Stegostoma tigrinum: one gene and its partner. The protein of the gene in region 2 interacts with the protein of the main gene of each other region in a pairwise test. Links are inferred from orthologs where the notes say so. Each region holds a gene or a part of one and is shown on either strand. Other genes may lie near its edges.

Region 1 (3,754 bases), on a different chromosome or scaffold from region 2:
GTTCGTTCATTATTTTTCTTTATTTCTAGTTCATTAGGAAAGTTGTTAGGCAACGGCATACTGACGTAGGGAGTGAAATTATAGTTCTGATTGTTATCTTATGAGCTGAATCATGAACTCCTGCTTTAAGTAGGAGTAACAATGCATATATTTCTATAAGTGTGCACTGTGTGACATTTTACAGTTTAGACAAAGGGTAGAAATGACTCATTTTGAGTGAGCTATAGTTCAGCCTTCCTTGACTCACATGCTTTTTAATAGGGTTTCTTCCATTCTTCTTAACAAATACACATCTACTACAAGTAAGAAAGATTCTACTAATCCTCTTCAGCACAACCTAATGATTTATCTACTAACAGGATGTGACCTTTAGTGGCGATCTTTGGCAATAAATTGGTTCCGAAGCGTCATGTGGTTCCAGTGCTTAACAGAGAAATGTTTCACGTTGGCTGCACAATTCATAAAGTTTCCAGTCAACAATAATGTGATATCACAGGAAGTTAAACTACCCGATTTTAGCCCAGCCACAATGTATGTAATTCAGTGTTTCACAAACAGGAATGAACCTCCAGCTGCATTGCAATACAAAATCTTCCTCCTGATTCAGATGAATTGTTTGAAAAACTGTGGTTTCGAAATGGATGGGCAGCTTTTTGACATATGGACTGGATCTTGGCAAATGAGGCACAGCATTTTAGTCAGGAAGTTTCCTAACTCGCCAAAAAACGTGACCTGTTCCTTGGGTCTTTGTTCCACTTTTTTTAGAAGCTGCTAGGCCAACCAGCCCCTAAGTCTTAAAGGCTCTAATGACCTTACCCACTCTATGGCCTAACATGTCTTTATGAATGCCTGGTTGACCTGTCACAAAAGGTATCATAATAGCCCCTGAAGAAATGACAAGAAAGAGTTCTATCGTAATTGCCCAAACAGTTGTTACATTTTTTTAACCTCTGCCCTTCATTCAAAGCAGTCCAGTAAATTTTTTGTAAACTCTCACTGACAGTCTCAGCCTTTTGTTTTTGAAGATTAAATAGTGGGTCATTTAAAAAAAACCTTCAGATAATGATAGTTGTACTGATTATCGCTGCCTGAAAATGACATTGATGCTTATTTCATCAGACATTGTTGGTAAGAAAGCTTGCATCAACCAAGGTGGGGTCTTTTTGAACTGAGTGGAGTTCGAATGGCCCTGTTGAGTTCTGAATACACTCCTGTGTATCACAAACTATCCCCTTTCCACTGCTGGCAAAAACTAGACCTGTCAGAATTGTGGACAGAACTTCTGTGTCCAAATTTCAACTGCCATTCCTGAAGAGGTGCAGAGTTAGGAAGGCTGCACAAAAATTTGGCTCAAAGTGTTTCCCTGCTTCACAAGGTAGTGCCCAAGCAGATGGTTGATAAATTGTTTGATCAGGAATGCAGTCTCCCATCCTCCTTTGCTAGAAACACGGAGCTTAAGGAAACTGCAGTTGGTCCAGTCTCATCTCCAACACTCAGAACAGTTTGGCTGAGCTACAAAAATTATTTCATCCTTTAATCACAATCGTTATTTTCAACTGCTGGGCTACGAGCACCATCAGTGGGTGTTCATGGAAACTTAAATTCCAAACAGCACCAGAAAAACTGGTGGTGTATCTTAATTTATGGAGTCTGAACTATTACAAAAAGAGAAAAATCTTTCAGATTTGGAGTTAATATGGAACATATTAACATCTCAATTGAATGTTGCAAATCTACAACAACACATTTATTTAATGCCTCCAACATGATGAAATGGTACAAGCCAATTAACATGAGTATTATTAAGCAAAGAACGATACCAAGGCTGCCACAATGACACTGGGCATGTCTGCAGAGTAGCCAGTGAACTGCAAAACTGTATAGTTAGTTATCTTTTAGTTTTGAGTTTTCCAAAATAAGCAACAGAAAATCCTTAACAATAAACAAGATAACAGTGCTGCTGTATTTCAAAATTTGAAACATTTTTCTATTTGTGATTGCACTGTTGCTCCTGCAGAATGTGGTAACATAAACAACATTCAGGAATCATAGCATGTTAATTTAAAAAATTGATATAGCAACTAATCTAAGGGGACCTGGGACAGAAATAAGGGTTTTGGGGAGAAAATTAACGCTGACACTCCTGTGCAGTATGTGGGAGTATAACATTGTTGGAGGTGCCATCTTTCAGATGAGAAATTAAACCAGGGCTTTATTCTACTTGCTAAGGTGGATGTACAAAACACCATGGCACTACTTCAAAAATGATCAGGGGAGTTATACATGGTGAGATGATCATCATTTATCTCTCAAGCAATATCACAAAAAACATCAGCTGTTCAATCTCACATTTCTATCTGTAGATGTTTGCTGAGCACAAAATAACTGCTACGCCTCTAACATTAGAACAGTAACTCCCCTTAAAAACTAACGCTTAATTGGTAGCAAGGTGCTTTGACATTGTCAGTGATCGTGAATAAGCGCTTCATAAATGCGACTCTTTGCTTTTTAGTTGGTGTGGTGAACTCCAATCTATCCCTAGTGTTGGCTCTCTCCTTTTCACATTAAATAGGTTTCACCTAAATCATGAATTATGTAAAGATTTGTTTTAAAGAAAAACCTCCTCCAACCAGTCCTAACTTTATTTTTAAGTGGTTTGAACTTATCCCCCTTTACCTTAACTTCAAGATGTTTCCAATTGTCTGATAAATGCTAGCAGCTGTCTAATTACCCATCACTAGTTTAAAAATCAGAAAATTCAATACCTTGGCTCCTTTTTCTTTGTTAAAAGTTCCTTATACTCATTGCACCCACCTCTGTTGAGGTTTATTGTGAGGATGGAGAGGAAAAAGAAATAGTCAATATTTCCCAATGGCTCAGACACAATACCTCATCCATCCTCCCCTTGCCGTGTCTGAGCGAACTTCGCGCATGCGTGCCGTGTACACCCGCGCTTCCACGAACAGACCGGAAGTAAGGCGGTTGCTAGGGGCAAGCTTCCGGTGAGGATGCCGCGCCAATGCAGCTCAAGTCCCTCTGAGCTTTCTGCTGCCGTTGCCGGGGGCGGGGGGTTGTTGTGAGGGGGAGGGAGGCTGTCGCTGGGTGAGTGTCACCGCGACCGCTCGGGCTCGTCGAAACGGAACGGGTTTCGCCCAGCTTTCTCTCGCTTCAGGTCCGGGTGCTACCTGCTCACCCCCCCCAAACCCCCCCATCCTCCCCAATCCCCCCCATCCTCCCCAATCCCCCCCATCCTCCCCAATCCCCCCATCCTCCCTCACCATGTGGGGGAAACATCCCAGAAACTGTGCTGTTTGGTCTAATTGCTCAACAACAACAACAGAATCCATTGTCTGTTCATTTATTCTCATCGCTTGCTGTTCGTGGGACTTTGCTGTGCACAAATGACCAGCCCTGATTGATAGCAACATTTCAAGGCTTCCCAAAATGCTTATAATGCTGTGTAAATACAAGAGAAGTATCTCGACCCAGAGGGTGTCTGGTTTGTAGAATTTGCTGCCACGGAAAGTGGTTGAGGCTAAGTCGAAACAGATACAGTTCCTAGGGTGAAAGGGTTCACAGGGAGGGGTACGGGGGGAAAGCGGGAACAGGACACTGAGTTGGACGATCAGCCACGATCACATAGTCAGATACCACGGGATAAGGCTCTTTGGTCCAACCAGTCCGTGTCAAACATAATCCAGAACTAAACGAGTCCCACTTGCCTGCACCTGGCTGATACCCCTACAAATCTTTA
Region 2 (3,754 bases):
AAACCCAGGCAGACACAGGAAAGCTCTGACAGACTGTCACCCAGGGCTGGAATCAAACACTGTGAGGGAGGAGTGCTAACCAGTGAGCCACCATGCCACCCAAGTTTTGCCATGGGGTTGCTCTGTATGGTAGGGGAGTGGGAATCTGGCAATCACTGCCTCAAACAGTAGTTGATTCTGAATTTCTCGTAACACCTGAAGCAGTAATTAGGTAGTCATTCGTATTACCATAGCCTCCAGGGCTATGAAGTGAGAGCTGGAAAATGTGATTAATATAATCAGATTTTTGTTGACTGGCACGGAAACAAAGGGCTGAACTGCCTCCTTCTGTGCTATAAATGACTATAACTATGAATCTAAACAAAACAGGCAATGCAACAGTTAATAACTAAAGAATGATCAGTACCTATATCTGTACTGTTCATGGTCACCCAAAGCTGCTCATCAGTTTAATTTCTGTAGCCCCACAATGTCTTTAGTTCGTAGTTCCTTCTTCAGTTTGCCAAAAAGGAATGGCTCAAATTGTGCAGTTCTCTTTTTGTGATCTATATACAGATCCTGTCCTATAATCCAAAACACAGTGCTACATACATTAAGCAGAATGCACCATTATGGAGGAGCTCCCAATGCAAGACAACAGTGAATGGGCTCAGTGCACATTCTTTGACAAACATTGTGGGAAATGTTGCTCAACAAATAGGATCTACAGACACCAGGCTGTCATCTACAAAAGCACATGAATCATCAGTATGGTTCCAAGGTCATTGTGAGAATTTAAAATTAAGACTATTGTTCGTTTTGCAGGTTGATATTCCTTTGGGTAAAAATGAATAACCATTCATCACTTTCATTGCTGGCAATGAATTAATCTACAGAAATTTTGTAGGTTTTTTTTGGTAGCTTAGAATTTGTCTTAATTTGTTAATGTTGATTGCATGCATTTCATTATTGAAACATTACAGTAACAAAATGATGATAACTGAAAACTTCAAGATTTGGTATACTGAGATTGAGGTATTCAGATTTAGCTATACACAGCTTTTACACTACACATTTTTGAAGGCTTAATACACTTGATTAATATAGAGAATTAGCATACAGAAGCAAAATCTAAATCTTGTCTCTGTTCATCTGATATATTACAGATCTTGACACCTGACTTTGAGTTGGTTCTGCATTTTAAGTTTTCAGTATATGGATAATTTACTTGCATGTTATATAGGTCTGTAGAAACTAATGGTAATTTTAAATACTAAAACATGATGGCCGGTGTGTACTGATCAATATCAGATTTTAGCCTCTCTGTTAAAATAGGACAAATAGCAGTGTTCTTGTAAATAAAACAATTGAACATTTCTACTGCAGTCAGCTTTCCTTTAACCCGTGCAACTCTCCTAAACATTACAAACATGCATGATATATAACAAAAAAAGTTTGATTCACATTGTACTTTCACTCAAGGTCATTTCATCCAAGTTCAGCATTTTGTTGCAAAGGAAACCTCAGGATAAACGGCCAAAGTCTACATTAGTTAACAGAACATGGGCTTGCCTAATGTTTGTGTAACCCCACTGCTGTATGCTGCGTTGGCATTGCTCTATAAGTATAGTACGTTGCTAAACTTCTAGTCAAATGTAACACCACTAGGTATTCGGATTGTGAACCAATAAATGCCTCTACGCTCCCTTATTCCAAGCAAGCTTTAAAAACTTTGTAAACGCTTTTTATAAATCACTTGAGGTGACATGGAGACGCTAGTGGTCCGTTCAAGATGAGCATGCATGACATATACCACTGTTAAGAAATACAAACACTTTACAACTCGATGCTTGGTTTTCAGTTTTGTGTTATGCTTCACACCTCAAAAAAACACGCATACTCTGGCGATACTTGCGCGAAATTTCCGCATATTTAAATTGTGTAGAGGCGTGCATTAAAAATGCAATGATATGTTTCTGTGAAAATTAACTGCATCGACCCGTGTACAGAGCAAGACGAACCAAAGAACCCGAGCACTGGATATGACGGCTCGTTACGGTTGGTTTGCACAAATACTGAGAGCCAAACGGGGCAACTGCATTGCTTATGAACTGAACAATGAGCAACAGCGGCACCACGGTGACTGCCTGCGTGTCTTACGCATGAAACATGCTCATTAGAGCAACACAGGGCACCAAATCCAAACCTTGCCTCTATCCATCTAACAGTGCAGCCCAGATAACAGCGCTCATTCCCTAACAGCCCGTCAAACAGCATCCCGCTAACTCTTCCGCTAGCCCCACACTACTAAGGAAGGGGGTGGGGGGGGGGAGAAAAAAATTCAATACTGTACTAACTCCTGCTTCGTTCAAATTATAAACGCCATCAGTTATTGTCACATAGTCCGCCCTGGGATGCAAAGATTCTTTGACACTTCATTTCCGCCTCTTTGCAATCACATTTTTTCCCCAGAAGAAATGCACCAGACAGCAGAAGCTTTCCGATTTACTGAGAGAATAATTCCATCCAAGATAAAAGCACCGCGAACACAGCATGCGGTTGGTGACAGCGCACCCGCTAAGTGCAGTGCAGGACTAATACACATTGATTCAAATGCGGCTGAAATAAATCCTCGCGTCCTTTTCACACAGTGGGGTGGGGAGGGTTAAAGAGCGAAGAACACATTATTTAATGGTACGCGAGGTGAGGGAGATGGAAATAATAATGGGGGGATGGTGGTGGTGGTGTGAGAAAGAGGTACTTACAGTTCGTAAGAACTGAATTTCGTCTTCTCCTTCTCCCACCTCAGCCATGACCGCAAGGGAGGGTGATGTGGGATGAGGGGAGGGAGAAGACAGGCGCGGCTGGTTGTCTGTCCCCTGGATGATGGACTCTTATCACAGCAGAGCTGCAAATCCTCCTCTCTTCCCTCTCTGGCTCTCCCGCGCGCGTCTCCGCTCGGGGATTCCGCGAGCGCGAGCCCGAAGGGGTTGCGGGGGAGGGAGCGGTGGTGCGCACCGTCAGATGCTCGCGCTCGCGCTGTAGCAGACCCAGATTCGATTATTTCCAACCCCCCCCCCTCCCACCCAAAAAGAAATGCTGATGCTGGAAATCAGAAATTGCTGGAAAAGCTCAGAGAGCATCTGTAGAGAGAGAGAGAGAGAAAGCAGAGTGACCCTTCCTCAGAACTCCAGTCCTGCCGGGCTTTTTCAGCAATTTCTCTTTTTCCTGGTTTTTTATTAAATCTCTCTTACTTTTGCTCATGAAACTTTCGCCGCAAGCTATTCCGCAAAACCAAGTGCCTGCGGAGAGACATCGCCGAATGTGTCAGGGAAAAAAAAGCTTATCAGGAAGAGGTGCAGATGAGCTACATGCATCTCCTCAAATTGTGTGCAATAATGTACGGGTCGTCGATTTTCTATGACTTAGTGCATTATTTCGTCGCTTTCACTAGTTATAAAATATTCTACCTCCTCCCCCCCAACACTTAAATAAATGGTGATAAATATTAGCATTTTGTGTATGTTTTTTCTTTTGTTGATGCTGGAGAATAAGAAAGAAAGGCTTGTATTGATATAGCACCTTTTTGGATCACAGCTCGCACCCCCCAAAATGACTTAGGTACATAATAAGTATTTTTCTCGAGCATTGTGACTATTGTGCGGAATACAGAACCATCTAGAATGTTAATGACTAGATAACATGCTTTGAAGGGTGCTAATTGGGAAATAAATATTATTCTTCAAAATAGAATAAATATTACTCTTCAGCAAAT

The links. The genes of interacting proteins can lie anywhere in the genome.
Region 1: the proteins of ryr2a (region 2) and fkbp1b interact in binary tests that used the Homo sapiens proteins (3 or more experiments, as listed by UniProt). The link is inferred for Stegostoma tigrinum from reciprocal best matches to the Homo sapiens genes RYR2 and FKBP1B.

What each region holds. Positions count from the first base shown.
Region 1 is NC_081357.1:122,404,568-122,408,321, forward strand, and holds the start of fkbp1b (peptidyl-prolyl cis-trans isomerase FKBP1B), read right to left. Parts: upstream 2,907-3,754; 5' UTR 2,815-2,906; exon of another isoform or gene 2,766-2,814; intron 1-2,765. UniProt on the Homo sapiens protein: Has the potential to contribute to the immunosuppressive and toxic effects of FK506 and rapamycin. PPIases accelerate the folding of proteins. It catalyzes the cis-trans isomerization of proline imidic peptide bonds in oligopeptides.
Region 2 is NC_081362.1:78,695,258-78,699,011, forward strand, and holds the start of ryr2a (ryanodine receptor 2), read right to left. Parts: upstream 2,899-3,754; 5' UTR 2,793-2,898; coding exon 2,745-2,792; intron 1-2,744. UniProt on the Homo sapiens protein: Cytosolic calcium-activated calcium channel that mediates the release of Ca(2+) from the sarcoplasmic reticulum into the cytosol and thereby plays a key role in triggering cardiac muscle contraction. Aberrant channel activation can lead to cardiac arrhythmia.